2 linked regions of the Danio rerio genome follow. The protein of the gene in region 1 binds, or shares a complex with, the protein of each later gene. Links are inferred from orthologs where the notes say so. Each region holds a gene or a part of one and is shown in the gene's direction. Other genes may lie near its edges.

The links.
Region 2: the proteins of map3k3 (region 1) and ccm2 are in contact, whole or in part, in a crystal structure (PDB 4Y5O), measured with the Homo sapiens proteins. The link is inferred for Danio rerio from reciprocal best matches to the Homo sapiens genes MAP3K3 and CCM2. Residues at the interface, in NP_002392.2 of Homo sapiens: Asp2, Glu3, Gln4, Ala6, Leu7, Ser9, Ile10, Met11, Asn12, Asp13, Leu14, Val15, Ala16, Leu17, Glu50, Asp82, His84, Met86, Asn88, Glu89, Leu90, Ser91, Ile92, Leu93, Arg117, Leu119, Leu121, Ser122, Gln123, Asp124; in NP_113631.1 of Homo sapiens: Leu299, Tyr302, Met303, Leu306, Arg307, Ser312, Gln313, Ile315, Gln316, Gln317, Phe318, Ala319, Ala320, Leu321, Leu322, His323, Glu324, Arg326, Glu333, Ile336, Asn337, Gln340, Leu341, Leu353, Phe356, Pro358.

Annotation. Positions count from the first base shown.
Region 1 is NC_133178.1:30,612,536-30,616,035, reverse strand, and holds part of map3k3 (mitogen-activated protein kinase kinase kinase 3), read left to right. Parts: intron 1-1,094; coding exon 1,095-1,243; intron 1,244-2,221; coding exon 2,222-2,353; intron 2,354-2,648; coding exon 2,649-2,778; intron 2,779-3,500. UniProt on the Homo sapiens protein: Component of a protein kinase signal transduction cascade. Mediates activation of the NF-kappa-B, AP1 and DDIT3 transcriptional regulators.
Region 2 is NC_133195.1:21,253,549-21,257,609, reverse strand, and holds the start of ccm2 (cerebral cavernous malformations protein 2 homolog), read left to right. Parts: upstream 1-1,261; 5' UTR 1,262-1,559; coding exon 1,560-1,589; intron 1,590-4,061. UniProt on the Homo sapiens protein: Component of the CCM signaling pathway which is a crucial regulator of heart and vessel formation and integrity. May act through the stabilization of endothelial cell junctions. May function as a scaffold protein for MAP2K3-MAP3K3 signaling.

The DNA of each region.
Region 1 (3,500 bases):
TGATCTTATTGAGGGGTGACCCAGTGGCACAGCAGGTATTGCTGTCGCCTCACAGCAAGAAGGTCGCTGGTTCGAGCCTCTGCTGGATCAGTTAGCGTTTCTGTGTGGAGTTTGCACGTTCTCCCTGCGTTCGTGTGGGTTTCCTCCGGTTTCCCCCATAGTCCAAAGACATGCGGTGCAGGTGAATTGGGTAGGCTAAATTGTCCGTAGTATATGAGTGTGAATGAGTGTGGATGGATGTTTCCCAGAGATGGGTTGCAGTTGAAAGGGCATCCGCTGTGTAAAACAAAAAGTTGGCAGTTCATTCCGCTGTGGCGACCCCAGATTAATAAAGGGACTAAGCCAACAAGAAAATAAATGACTGAATGATCTTATTGACCTTATGCTTTCACATAAGAGCAGCTACAGCCATTAGTACATTTATTGGTTCAAGATTTTATTTTTATTTTATGTTGCAAACTTTTAATTCATTTGTTGTATGTTTTCACCTGCCTCCTTTTGCTAACATGAACAGTATTTTAATTTAACATTTTTTTACAATTTATTGTAAGATTGCATTTGCACACATATTGCAAAATGGTCAATGGAAAATTATAAACTTGAGCGACAAGGCAGTACTGACAATACTGTGCATCTCTCACACATCTTTATTGCCAAACCCTGATTACTGTAATCAATGTATTTTGGGACACCACATATAATCGCTAATATATGAAACTTTACATTTTTTATTTTGTTCATGCAACATATATCACGTGTCAAACTCGTTTTGCACAGTTTGGCTTTAACACCTGATCAAACTAATGGAGTCCTTCAGGCTTGTTTTAAACCCCTAGGTAAGTGTATTGAAGGAAGGTTGGAAATAGTTTGTGCTGGGCTGCTGAGTTTGGCACCCCTAAGATATGTATTATCATATTCCTAGTTGGAAATTCTAAAACTATTGCAGAATAGAGCTTACTTTTGCATTGCAAAATAAGGTCAATAGAAACGGTTTAAAAAGTTTTGAGAATGTGCCCATGTATGCTTTTGAGTGAAACTGTCAATTACTTTGTCGTTCAGCCAATCATTGTGTATTTATATGTGCATATGTGTAGCCCCTACAGCTCCAGTGACGTGGCGCAGAGGGAAGTTGCTGGGTCAGGGTGCTTTTGGAAGGGTTTATCTGTGCTATGATGTGGATACGGGCAGAGAACTTGCAGCAAAACAGGTTCATTTTGACCCTGCCAGTCCAGAGACCAGCAAGGTACATGTTTTTTTTTTTTTTGTCGTATTTATTTAATCATGCTTTTATTTATACTTTTATTATTTATTTATTTATGCATTTATTTATTTGTTTATTTATTTATTCATGCATTTATTTTTTACATTTTTTTATTTATTTATACATTTTTTATCAGTGCATTCATTTTTTATTAATTGTTTATTTATTTATGCATTTATATCTTTACTTTTATGCATTTATATATTTATTTATTTATGCATTTATATTTTTACTTGTTTATTTATTTATTCTTGCATTTTTTTATTTGTTTATTTATGCATCATTTTTTACTTATTAATTTATGCATTTATAATTTTTTTTACTTATTTTTAATTATTCATTTATTTATTTATTTATGCATTTATTTGTAGATTTATTTATTTGTTTTTCTTTTTATTTATTATGAATGAGATTCATAATACTAAAAGAATTAAAGTTTTCATTTTATTTCTTTTATTGTTCTTTTTCTTTTCTTTCTCTTTTTTTTCTTTTAATTTTCTTTCCTTTGTTGTTTTTCTCTGAGATTACCAGCATGTTTTTTTCTCCCCCCTGATTTATCTTTCTTTCTTGAACTTCTCCCCCTCTCTTCAAATCCTTTCCTGTCTGCCATTGCAAAAACATGCACTCTCGCTTCCTGTATCTGTGTGTGATTGTGTATTTGGTTCAGAGGGGGTTTGAGGCGAGGGGAAGCGGGGTAGTCTAACAAAGCATTTCTCATTGATCATGCCCCCAATTGACACACAAACACACACACAGACATGCACAAAAGCAAAAAGCACCTCCTGGATGTTCAATCTCTCTTATCTACATGTTAACAGTTTGGCATTAGTGTGTTGTGGTTTGTGTGTTTTTAGTTGATCTTCCACCTTCATGCACAGTCATCTCCCTCATAGCCCCCTCTGGTCATAGCTGCTCTGCTCAGCTGTGGTCGTGTCATGACTCTTGCCCCTCTTTCTGCAGGAGGTGAGTGCTTTAGAGTGTGAGATACAGCTGTTGAAAAACCTGCATCATGAACGAATCGTCCAGTACTACGGCTGCCTTAGAGACCACAATGAGAAGACGCTTACCATTTTCATGGAGTATATGCCCGGGGTGAGTTTGATAAAAGAACCACATTTATTAAGCGTTTGGAAATCAATTAGGACGAGTCGTTGTTGGAAAAAAAAAATCTATGGAAACTACTACTATAGTGTTCCTGAGGAAAAATTAACCATATACATCTTTGAATGTGGGTGAGTATGCAATGACATAGTTTCCTTTTTTGGTGCACTGTAGCTGTAATGCCAGATCTCTTTATTGTATGGGTTGAAATGTGTCACGGAACACCTGTTTAATAACAATACGGCTGTTGTGATATAGAGTTCAGTGTGATCTTTCCACCCCTCAGGGTTCAGTCAAAGACCAGCTGAAGGCTTATGGGGCTTTGACGGAGAATGTGACACGCAAATATACCAGACAGATTCTGGAAGGCATGTCCTACCTGCACAGCAACATGATCGTCCACAGGGACATCAAAGGTTTGTAGTCTGTGTGTTGTGTGTGTGTGTGTGCGTGAGTGTTTTAGTAGTACAACAATACAGACTTCTCATGGTTTCTGGGTCACGATTTTGGCACGATTTTCGGTTTATATGTCCAGTAAGACAAAACAATATAGCAAAGATAATACTAAAATAAGCAATGCTTTCAGGCTTTTCATGTATCTAGCAATAGTTTTCAGTTATATAAACGAATAAATATCATATCACAGATTCATGGAATTGATTCTTACCTCCAGCATAATCAAGCTTTTAAGCTTACTGAAATGTTTTTGACAATAGCTCAACAATGTATTGCTTTAAAATAGAAAACAGACATTGATGTACTAATTGGACTGTGGATCTCAAAAGTGCACCTCAACTGTATACCATTGGAGAAGATCACATATTCTTTGAGAGGAAAGGGGAATTATTAAAAAATAATTGGAATCCATTTTGAATTATATTAAAGCTGTACCACATGATTTAATATGACAAAATAGTTTTCTCCATTGGTTTAAACTGTATATCCTCCGTTTGTTTATTTATTTATTTATTTGTTTTATGTACTGTGTGTATGGTTTACTTTAGTTTGTTTGTTGCTTAATTTCAATGTTCTGTATTGTTAAGTTTTGAAAAAGCTAAATAAAAATCTATATTTCTAAGAAAAATCTAATAAAAAATAACACTGCATACTATATCTTCAGTGTAAAAATTAAATAAAG
Region 2 (4,061 bases), on another chromosome or scaffold:
TCAACTGCGCATACCGGTTGCAATAAATACCGGTTGCAAGCATGTCCTGTTGTGCTGTAGGATGCCAAAATCGAAAGTCCAAAATTAGAAAACTTAAATTTTACCGTTCACCACACTGCTTTTAATGCCAACTGCAGACGTCTTTGGCTAACAGCCATCAGAAGAGCTGAATGGTGTGAGGACCTAATCAAATCTGCTCGACTCTGCAGTTCTCAAATTATACCAGGTAAGTTTACGCTATCCTGATTCATACACATTATTCGTTTTTGATTGCAGCAATGATTTCAGCAAAAACAGTTAAATTTGTTTATTAAACTGCGGACACTGAATGCTTAGAATGAAATGTAAAAAGTTCACATACCCTGCCATACAGGTGCAGATTCGCTGTCAGAATGCAGGTGTTTCGCTTGTTGATGATTACCCAGGCCTTGTACAGTTCTGTCTTCTTTTGTTGTCTTTGGCCAGGCAGAACCTCGGTTTCCAGCACTACAAAGTTTTTAATCTGGTAATCATGGAACATTATTTCTTGCACATGACCATGACGTTAATTTTGCCGAATGACTGTGCTAATCACTAGGTGACAAGCTGTTGCACTACGCTAAAAGCATTGTGTAAATAATATATACATTTATATCAATATAACTAATCTCTAATACAACAACAAACTCTGTCCCGCACCGCATGTCATTCCCTCGCTGTAAATGCTAGCCCTCCTGTTTTTTTCTGCAACCTTGATGCGTGCGCATCCTGAATGTTTACAAACCAGTAATTCACCAATATTGATAATAACAACAGCATAATAATTGTTTTTTTAACAAAATACATGACCATGTAATATAGACATGATAACAATTACTAAACATATTTGCCATATAACGTTACCTTTTCTGAGTTATGTTATACACTATAAATTATAAACATTTTAATTTTTTTTTAATTTTAAAACCATTTTGCTAAAAGATTAAAACTAGAATGGTCACTTTACTTGTTACAAACATAAAACTTAAGTTGATTTTGGCATTTTAAATAGCTTATAGGCTATATTTTCTTGTTAGTCATATTGTGGACAATTTAGAAGTTTGCTCCATTTTTAAAGGTAACCCTTTAAAAAGTTGCTTTTAAATCATAGTGAAAAGACAATGCAAAGCCCAAAGCTACAACGAGTAATATAAACTTCCCATCTTCTGTGTTTATTAATAATAACTTACCGTAAGTATTTATAGTATGTGCTGATGAGGTTTTCTGTTTGTCTCGCAAGGCACTATGGGTAGACGTCCTACGCCCAAAATGGCGGCAGGATTGAAAAGTTTGTTGCTGTTTTTGTTTTATTTTATTATATCTGTTCGGTCTCTGTCCTTTTTTTCATAAACTCCAAGTTTTACCTCGACAAATAACGTCGCTCGTTTCTTGACGGTCCACGAGCACGTGATTCTGAATCGTCGGTTTGTTTTGTTAGATCGCCGAAGCGCCGCCGTTGACGTGTAGGAGGCAGATGGCAGTGAATTCGTGGACATCACCACATCTAATACAGCGAAAATGAAGAGCATTTGTACGTAGAGATGGAGGAGGATGTAAAGAAAGTCAAAAAGGTTAGTTAACGCTGTAATGTGACCAGAGTTTACTCGTGTACGACACAAAAACTGCTTAGTAGCTTAAACGTGTTGGCCTAACTTAACCACGAATTAACACAATGTTAACTCTCTTTTAAAACATCTGTGTGTGTATTCATACCTTAAGTTATGTTTAGAATAATTTCCACTCGTTATCCTGTGACTAAACTGGATTATTAAGGAAATAAGTGGTGCCGCTCTTTAGTCATGAATACAAGTTACTTACGCTGGCCAAAGATAAACACTGAGATTCTCAGCATGTGACTTTACCGTGATTGTAAAAGATCTGGCGCTTGACATTTCCTTCTGATTCTTGGTGGCTTTTGGTAAAGTATTCATATTCAGTCAGAGATGTACAGAGCCCCCGTATGGCCACGTAGAAAAATCTATACTGGTCTCTGGAGGTTGATTTCGTGGTTTGCTATGTAACGTTAACGTTAAATACTAAAAGCCTCAAAACAGTCCGTTTAGCATTGAGGGAAAGTTGTTTTTTATTTACACATTTGCTCAGTGACAACTTGTGCCACCGTTCCTATATTGTTTACCATGCTACTTTGAATATTCTGGCAGAAATAGCATACTAGGATGACTTCAAAACCGCATTAGCACTGTTTAATTGACTGTGAACAATTCTGTAACGTTACTTTGATAGTATTTGGCTGCTAACATGATGTAATTATCTAGAGTTGGAAAAAAAAATCCTTTTCTGAAAATATAATGTTAAGTAAAAAGTCAGAATAAAAAAACACTTAACCTCAATCTGTTCAGAAATGGAACTAACCAAAAACTGCTTACAAAACACTTTAGTTTTTTCAACTCTGTCTTTTAGTTCTTAATGATAAAAATGTCTAGGTCCTAATATATTTTCAGCTCAGGATTGTGAACCTAGAATTCAAAGACTTTCTAGTGTTTCATTTAAATTATTCAGGCATGGTTATTTCTAAAGTAATATTAAATAACCTAAATAATAATGAGGTAAAGTTGGTTTTATATTCGCATGTATGTTCAGTGACAACTTGAGACATGCTCCCTATATTGTTTATCATGCTACTTTGAATATTCATTCTGAAATCGCATGCAAGTGACTACAAAACAGCGTTAGCACTGTTAAATTGATTGTTAACAATGTTGTTCTTTGATAGTCTTTGGCTGCTAATATGATTTCCCTATTTATAATTGGCAAATAATACTTTTCTGATAAAGTGTAATATTAAGTAGAAAGTCAGAATATGAAAACAAATTTACCTTAATCCGTTCAGAAATGATAACTAGCCAAAAACTGCTAACAAAGCTAGTTTTTTCACACTCTTTGTCTTTTATCTCTTTATCATAAACAATGTATATATCTTAATTTGTTTTCAGCTCAGGATTGGGAATTTAGAATTAAAAGACATTCTGGTTTTCAAGTAAAATTATCCAGGCATGCATTTAGCCTCCTTACATTTAAAAATAATATCGAGGTAAAGTTGTTTTTTTGTTCACACATTGGTTCAGTTAAAACTTGCAATATGCTCCTTATATTGTTGACCATGCTACTTTGAAATTGGTTCTAAAAATCGCATGTAATAATGACTTTAAAACAACATTAGTTTAATTGACTGAACAATGTACTTTGATAGTCATTGGCTGCTAATATGATTTCCCTATTTAGAATTGGCCAAGAACACTTTTCTGAAAATATAATATTAAGAAAGTCAGAATATAAGAACAACTTTCCCACAGTCCATTCAGAAATGATAACTGACCAAAAACTGCTATCAAAACCATTTTTAGTTTTTTTTAACACTCTTTTTTGTCTTTTATCTCTTTACGATAAAAGGTCTTCATATATTTTCAGCTCAGGATTGTGAACCTAGAATTAAAAGACTTTCTAGTGTTTCATTTAAATTATTCAGGCATGCTTATATTTCTAAAATAATATTTTATAATAATGAGGTAAAGTTAGTTGTGTGTTTGCATGTATGTTCAGTAACAACTTGAGACATGCTCCCTATATTGTTTATCATGCTACTTTGAATATTCGTTCTGAAATTGCATGCAAGTATAACTACAAAACAACATTAGCACTGTTTAATTGACTGAACAATGTACTTTGATAGTCATTGACTGCTAATAGGATTCCCTTATTTAGTATTTGCAAAGAATACTTTTCTGAACTTATTTTATAAAAAAGAAAGTCAGAATGTGTGAACCAACTTTACCTCAATTTTTTTAAATATGTGTATGATGTATATAAACTGGTATTACACAGTTAATATAATAACTGTAAGTATTTCTTCCTAATAAAATAAATATAAGCATCACATTGTAATTTTCAAAAGTAAAAAATTCAAGCTGGTAAACTATAAATGTGAACCTATTTTTCTATATATATAAACACTTACTTATATATCCCATTATAATCATTAGTTCTACTCAGAGAGCAGACATTTCTGATTTAAGTGAATCTCC